2 linked regions of the Oryzias latipes genome follow. The protein of the gene in region 1 interacts with the protein of each later gene in a pairwise test. Links are inferred from orthologs where the notes say so. Each region holds a gene or a part of one and is shown on either strand. Other genes may lie near its edges. The genes, in order: vbp1 and pfdn4.

The links.
Region 2: the proteins of vbp1 (region 1) and pfdn4 interact in binary tests that used the Homo sapiens proteins (3 or more experiments, as listed by UniProt). The link is inferred for Oryzias latipes from reciprocal best matches to the Homo sapiens genes VBP1 and PFDN4.

What each region holds. Positions count from the first base shown.
Region 1 is NC_019876.2:19,815,160-19,818,984, reverse strand, and holds part of vbp1 (prefoldin subunit 3), read left to right. Parts: intron 1-233; coding exon 234-300; intron 301-693; coding exon 694-792; intron 793-1,389; coding exon 1,390-1,528; intron 1,529-3,825. UniProt on the Homo sapiens protein: Binds specifically to cytosolic chaperonin (c-CPN) and transfers target proteins to it. Binds to nascent polypeptide chain and promotes folding in an environment in which there are many competing pathways for nonnative proteins.
Region 2 is NC_019865.2:24,677,510-24,682,131, reverse strand, and holds the start of pfdn4 (prefoldin subunit 4), read left to right. Parts: upstream 1-1,785; 5' UTR 1,786-1,868; coding exon 1,869-1,898; intron 1,899-2,246; coding exon 2,247-2,354; intron 2,355-2,646; coding exon 2,647-2,787; intron 2,788-4,622. UniProt on the Homo sapiens protein: Binds specifically to cytosolic chaperonin (c-CPN) and transfers target proteins to it. Binds to nascent polypeptide chain and promotes folding in an environment in which there are many competing pathways for nonnative proteins.

The sequences.
Region 1 (3,825 bases):
CAAGTGGTTTTACTTGTGATTTATTGCTATATTTGGACATCTCTAAAACTTCCCCTTTTCAGTGGATCCATAATGACGTTCCATAAATATTAAAATATTTTTACGTTTGTGCTGTTTAATATTTTAATTATGATGGACATTAAAACATTGTCATCTATTTATTTTGTTTCTTGACTGATTTCCTGAATTCATTGCTGACTTGACAAAAACTACTTATTTATCTTTCTCTTGAGGTTGAAAAATCAGATCCCACAAATCACACAGACGCTAGAAATTCTACGACACATGCAGAAGAAAAAGGTGAGACTTTCATTCATCCACCTTGTAATTTTGTCCTGGAACACAAGCTGAAGGGTGTTGTCATGTGGAGTTTGATTTGCAAAAGTAGTTAAGATGTGTATTTGCAGTTTTTTTTTTTGACAAAAAAAAAATTGCTTTTACAAGCTGTTTATGAAGTTTTAGAAAAAAAACATTTATATACACAAATACGTTAAAAAGTGAAAAAATTGATATTTCTGCTGGTATTGTGTAAAAGATCACTGGAATCTGTTTCAGACAAAGTTAAACTTGCATTTTGACCAATGACACACTAGTCTAAAGAAGCAGACTCGTAACAGTTTAAAATGGTCATAGCATACCAACCACACAACTTCACAATAGATTAGGTTTTAATAATTTGTGCTTTGCCTCCAGAAAACCACAGAACCCATGGAAACACATTTCCTACTGGCTGACAGCGTTTACTGCAAGGCCTCAGTGCCGCCCACTGACAAAGTCTGTTTATGGTTAGGTGTAAGTAGAACTCAGATCCACAGTTCTCAAGCTTTCATTTAGTCTCAATGTAAATGAGACAACCCTGGACATTAGGGCTGCACGATATGAAGAAAACTCGCGATATGCGATATTAGTAATTAATATTGCGATAACTTATATAACGATATAATTTGCGGTATATAAACAATTAGCAAAACAACCAAAAATATTATTCCCATTCCATTACAACAGCTTAAAAATTATAGTACAAACGACCCTTGTTGACGCAGGAGGCGAACATACAACATAATAGGGCGCCATCCGATTAGTTAACAACGTGAAGGGGTCCATCTGATTGGTCAAATGCAGAAAGGGATTCTTTCAATCCATTAAATACTTCTAGCTGGCATAAGATTGTTTGGCCACACCTAAGGTAACCATTTATTGCAAATTTGCTGTCTTTTGCGATATGCATATTGCACGGCTTGATATTGCGGTAACGATAAATTTGCGGTATATTGTGCAGGCCTACTGGACATAATTAAATGTCTTCTTTTTTTTTACTATTAATGCTAAGTGCAGCGATTTAATGCTTTTATTTCATTGAATGAGTATCCTTTTTTGCTTTCTCATTAGGCTAATGTCATGTTAGAGTACGACATTGATGAAGCCCAGGCTCTCCTAGAGAAGAACTTGTCCACAGCGTCTCGCAACCTAGAGACTCTGGAGGACGATCTGGATTTCCTGCGAGACCAGTTCACCACCACCGAAGTCAGTATCCTTCAGTGTTGTCTGCACAGATGACAAGAGTAGAGGTCATGGTCACACTGTTGCTAAAAAAAACTTGTGTTCTCATCTTATTGCTAACTGAATTTATTTCTAATATTTAAGTGAAAATGAAACGTGTCTCTTCTAATCCTTTATTATATATATTTAAGATCCCACTTTAAAATCTGATTAAAAAACATTTTTTTTTCCTCAGTCAGTAAATTGTCATGGTAAGATCTGAAATATCTAACAAATATCTAAATATCTAACAATATCTACAATACTTTAAACATAAGAGATGCACTGAAGGAACAACTTTCAGATATTTTTTTTTTTTCAGATAACTAAGAAAACTACACTGAAAATTAAAGCAAAACCTTTTAAGTTCAAACGAGAACATAAATAATAAACTAAAAAAAAAAGCTGCATTTCTAGACCAAAATGCAGGGTTCAATGCTATATTGCGGAATGAAATTTAAAGGGTAATAACTGGCAAAAGAAAAAATTTTAAAAGAAAAAAAGAAATTATCAAAGTTGACCATAAAGTAAAAACGGCACAATAACAAAAAATATATTATTGTGAAAAATATCAGCACCGGGAATCGAACCAGCAAGCTTTTGCACCAAGGATTTCCCATGTATTTCAATGGAGGCAAAAACCCTGGAATATTTTGAAAAGTTCTAGGATTTGAATGACCAAAGGTCATGGCTGGAAAAACCTGCAAGAGCTTTTGATTTTTTTTTTTTTTAAATTACCGGCCAAATTATAACATTTTACACATGAAATTGCATAAAAGTAATTTATAAATAGTATGAACACTTCTTGATTGAATTTGAGTTTACAGTTAGATGACAAACATGCTGAGGAAAATAAGGACAGATTTCCTATTTCTGCTTTCAGGTGATGGCATTTTAAAATTTAATTTAAAAAAAAACAGCCTGAAAATAGTATGTTTTTGATTATTGCCGTATTTTTACGACCATAAGACACATTTAAAAGTCTTAAATTTTCTCCAGAATGTAGGGGGCTCCCTATGAGGCGGTGCGCCTAATGTGTTTTTGTGGGGCGTAGAAGACGGCATGAGAACGGGGGAGGGAGGTGTGGGCGTCAACAATATTGTTACAAAATCCCGGAAATCCAATTTAAACTGCAAACTATTAGCTACACGGAGGAACATGGGAGCATCTGCAAGAGAATCAAGATGAATGAATGCATGGTTCACAAGTGGAGGAAGCTGGAAAATGAACTCTGACAGTAAAGATGACGCAGCTAAGTTTCCGCAGGAAAAAAAACATCTCGATTGACGATTAACGATTAGTGATCAGCTTGGAGAAGCTTCTCCGCACTCACCATACGACTGAGGGCAGTAACGCTTACAGAGGAAGCTTTTGCTTTTGTTTTATGAAACAACGTTATCTTTTCATCCGGGCGAGGATTACGGTGCCGCAGCGACATCCAGCGGATTATAATGAAAAGCTGTTCATCTTCCGCTCGTATTGCATTAAAAAGATCGACGACAGACACCCCCAGCCCAGCCACATCACCATCATGGACAAGGCGCCGCTGACTTTCGACATCCCGGTGAGTCACACTGTCGAGAAGGACGGGAGCAGCGCGGTAGGATACACATAACGGGGCACAGCTTTTATTGTTGTGGGAGGCAGTGCCATATTTTGTGAATGGATTGTAGAAGCTTGGTATAACGTGTTTGCTTGCACTGCTTTCGAAGTGGCTAAAAGCAGGCAATATTCATGAGGGGCCGCACGGCGACGAGACGGACTCCGACAATGACCAAAGGAAACCTAGCGTGTTTGATAGAAATTTAGTCCAGCTGTTCATTTCAGATACAGAAGATGAGGACTTTGATGGATTTTTGGATGGTGATTGATGACTGAAAAATAAATCACAACCATCTCAGTTTTGCTCCCGCTGCCTTTTTCTTTAACACACACTAGCATGCATGTTGTGCCGGTATGTGTTAACGTGCCCGCACCTTAAAACCCAGTGCGCCTTTTGTATGTGTTAAATACCAAAAAATCACTCTTAACGGAGACTGCGCCCTATAACCCAGTGGGTCCTATGGTCGTGAAAATACGGTATATCATTTTATCACCCAGGCCAATGATGAATACAGTCAGATGGTTTGTCTTATCATCTTCAAAATTTAAAGCATGTTTTTTAACATTTAAATTAAATATTTATGTAATTGTATATTTGGTAAAATACTTAATTAATACAAAAATGAATCCAGATTTTGTTCATGATTGTTATGCATTGTTTTATTTTATTCAAAGATTTTGTGG
Region 2 (4,622 bases), on another chromosome or scaffold:
TTAAATCTTGTAACGTGGGTTATCTGAAACCAGCTGCGTGATCGAAAGGCAAAAACAGACAGAAAGCTCTGCCAAAACCACGGAGGATTTCCTCTGATGCTGTAAGAGAGGGAAAAAATAAGATGAAGCGCTTTTGCAGATGATAAAACAACCGAAAAGTTCTGCTAAACAGGTACAACTAGTTAGTTTCTAAGATCAGCTGAAACTACGGCTGTTTTCACTATGTAGAGGATATTTCAAATGGCTGAGAAAACAATACTGTAAAACCAATAAAAACGTTACAGTTTTGTTAAAAACGAATCATTTAAAGCAGGTCTTCACAATGGGAGACCTGTAAGGAAGCCATTTGTTAAACTCTGCTGCACAACCCTTTTGTTGACATAAAATGACTTCTGTTAATGACAACAAGTCTATTTTTCTTCTCTTTATGAACAAACGGCTGCAGTTTTTGAGAGGTACTTTCTGCACGTTGAAAAAGATTAAACCTTCTTCAAAAAAAGGTGTTTTTGGTGTTTTTAACGTTTTCTTCTGGCATTTTTCGGATGACGGAGGTTATAAAGAAAGTCACATTTCTGAACAGTTGTTGATTCAAATGGTTGTGAACCAGAAGAAGAAGAAGTCTTGATGAGCTGGCATCTGACTCAAAACTGTACGGCTGTAGGTTGGGGGCGTGAGGGGCTGTAAGCTACCAGGAGAGCAGGTAAACCGAAAGCTCTATACAACTATGAAAGGAAGGAGCCCCACCCACAACTCAAAAGCAAATTTCTAATGAATTCCTGCTGCTCTGCAGACACTATGTTCTACACTATGACACAGTTTTTTTTTTGGTTATTCTTATTTTAGCTAAAACTGCACGAACATAATTGAAAACCACATGGGAACACTGTTAAAATGGATCCAAAGATGATCAGAGTCAGTCTTTAAAATTGCACAACGTCGTAGTCTTCCTTGAGCATTTTTACCTGTTTGATTTGGGTCAATGTACAATTGAGAAGAGCCATTGCTTGGTTGTCTCGGTTTTTTTGTTTGTTACCATTTGTGTTATTTGCCTCTTCTGTTATAGAAGTGTCAGAAGAAGTGCTGTAGCCTTTAACTTTAACATGTTGGCCTTTGATTTTTTTTCTAATCTTTATATAAGAGCTGCACTGTGGTGTAGTGATTAGCACTGTTTTCTCCCAGCCCTGGTTTGAATCCCAGCTGGGTCCTTTCTGAGTTGGTGTGGTCTCCTTGTGCACACTGACTTCCTCCCACAGTTGACAAACATGCTTCATAGGTTAATTGTTACTCTGAATTGTCCCTGGATGGGAATGTGGGGTTGGTTAGCCCTGCAACAGACTAGTTACCTGTCCAGGGTGTACCCCCGCCTTCAACCAGTGGTGGCTGGGACAGGCTCAAGCAACCTCTGGTTCCCAAAGCAAGTTTAAAAGGCAGATGGGTGAATTTTCTATGTCAGAAAAAAAACAACTTCACCAATTTCTTTCTGTGCTTAATTTAATTTAATTTGTTTTAATTTGTTTTAATTTAATTTAATTTAATTTAATTTAATTTAATTTAATTTAATTTAATTTAATTTAATTTAATTTAATTTAATTTAATTTAATTTAATTTAATTTAATTCTGCATGGTCACATGTGCCACCATTAGATGGTGTATTACTGAGAAGCACTTTTAAAACAAAGAAATACTTTTCCAAACTCAAATCTTTTTTGTCTTGCTCATTTAAACACATTTATTTCGTGTCAAGCTCCTGTTGGCGTTAGAAGGCGTTCAGTGGGTTGTGTAGTAATAACCATCCAAGCCGCTAGGTGGCGGTGTCGCTTAACCTCTCTGTGCAGCAGCAGCGTCTGTTTCCCGTCGAAGAAGGCACGATGGCAGCAGCCACCATGAAGGCAACAGCAGTAAGTGCCTTTTTCAAACAAATATTCTGTTTTCTTCCTTTGATGATGCTTTTTTTTAATTTTAGTTATAGAAACTGTTCAAACAAGAGGTTCTGCTTTCAAAGTAAAAGAGTCACTTGCGTGTGCTAGTTTTGTTTTAAAGCGGCGGTTTAGAAACGTGCAGCGTTAGCTAGCTAACTCTAATGAATCAGAAATGTAACTGCTAGCTCTGACATTTACGACAATTATAAAATAGTAACAATTAAAGAGGTGGCACAACGACACACACATGATAGTTAACTTGTCAAGCTAACTCTATCTAAAGCTTTTGAGGTAGTCTCTGTAACGTGCAGTGTTTACTTTTTTCAGGGCGTTGAAGACATCGTGGTCACCTTTGAAGACCAGCAGAAGATCAACAAATTTGCCAGGAACACGAGCCGGATCAAGGAGCTAAAAAACGAAATCGAGGCAAACAAAGTAGGTAGAGGAGAAATCCTACAACTGTGTTGACCTACAGGTTGAACAAAATATAGAAAAGTAACTAGAATTTACCCTAAAAACTGCAGGTGGATAGACGAATTTAAAGTCACTGCCTTTATTTATTATCATTGAGTGATGCTTTATTATGAAAGAACTTTTCTCTCCAGAATCGTAATGTTATGTACAAATGTTGGCGAGGCATTTTGAAACACAGCTGGATAAGCACCAGTTGACGTGTTTTGTTGTTGCTTTCGCTCATCTTTAACAGCCGCTTGATGTCTCCTCTTAGAAAACTCTGCAGAACCTGCAGGACGCCAGTGATGACATCATGATGCTGGATGACGACACCATGCTCATCCCGTACCAGATCGGTGGCGTTTTTGTCAGCCACTCGCAGGAAGAAACGCAAAAGATGCTGGAGTCTGCAAAGGTCAGCCTGAAATGATTGACACTTTGTTTGACACAATTAGCAGTCAGACAGACGCAGATGTGCAGTTTAAAAAAAGAAGACAACTTTAACTTTTTTTTGTCTTTTTAAAGATTAGAGCAAAACAATAGATTTCTGTTTATTAGACTGCTGACCAAGCAGCAGAGAAACAAGGTGACTTACTCAGACTGGATTTCACTTCTATCACATTGAGGTCTGTGACTACTTTAGTCTTAAAAGGTCAATAAAATATTAAGCAATTTTGCAGAAGTTCCTTGCTTCAGATATACTTTAACTTTAACCTTCAGATATACTTTAACCAAAAAAGTGGATCCACCTGGATTAATTTTAAATCACAACAATGCTATATATATATATATATATATATATATATATATATATATATATATATATATATATATATATATATATATATATATATATATATATATATATATATATTTGGGGGATATATATATTTGGGGGATTGTTTTTACAGGTATTTTTGTGAGCAGCAAGCAGACGATATTCAAAACCTTTTAAGAAGACAATTTGATCTTGCACGCATTTACTGGGAAGATTTGTCGTTGATTTACATGATCCAAAAATGTTACAGTGTGAGAACGAGTGGCCGTTAAATTCCCTAGGTTTATAGACGGACTCGCAGAAGTTAATAGAGAACTGATTTCTTCTGGCAGAGGAAGTAGAGTAGAGCTGTTTTAAGAGCACACCTTCCAAAACAACCATTACCATCTGTAAAAAGTTGCTGTTTTACTCCTTTTGTCCAAATCAGTTTGCAATCTACGCCAAGATTGAAGATTGATTAAAAAACAAAAAAGAATAAAGCTCAGGTGTAGTTCACAAGGTGGCCACTAGGTGGCCCCCTTGCCCCCTCTACTTGAACTTCTCTACAGGAACAAACACATTTTTTTTTTATCCCAAAACCTGACAAGGATCCTAGACTTATAGACAACAGAAGACCTATCACCTTAAGAAATTCAGACTACAAATTATTACCGTACATTTTCGCTTCTCGTCTCAAGACCGGACTCTCAGGACTTATTGCGGAAACACAATCTGGTTCTCTGAAGGGCCGTTCAATTCATAATAATATAAGACTGGTTATGGACATCATTGAATACCGACACCTTATAAAAGATAATGGTTTTATTCTCTTTCTGGATTTTTACAAGGCCTTTGATTCAGTGGAGCATCCGTTTATAATGACAGCACTGGAAAATTTGGGTTTTGGTACTAAATTTAGAAACCTAATCTATGGTCTATATCAGAATATCAATAGCTGTGTTATCCTTCCTAATGGCACCACCCCAAGTTTCAAAGTTGATGTAGGGATCCCTCAAGGTTGTCCCATCTCTCCGTATCTGTTCTTATTAGCCACTGAAATGTTGGCAATTTATATTAAGAATTGTAGTGAAATCAAAAAGTTAAATGTCTTGGGCACAGAGATCATTATTAGCCAGCTAGCAGACGCCACAACACTGTTTTTAAAAGATGAGCATCAAATTAAAGCAGCTATTGAAAAAGTAAAACACTTTTCCAAAGCATCAGGGTTAAACTTACATTTAAAGAAATGTGAACTGTTGGCTATTCATGACACACCTTTAAAAGAAATCAATCATATCCCCATTAAATCAGAAGTTAAATACTTGGGCATCTATATCAACAAAGACCAAAAAATAAGGCAATCAAGGAATGTGGGTGAAAAACTTAATGAATGTAAGACGAGGTTGAATATGTGGCTCCAAAGAGATATTTCGCTGTTGGGTCGGATCTATCTGACAAAGATGGAGGGTTTGTCTATATCAGTGTTTTTCAAC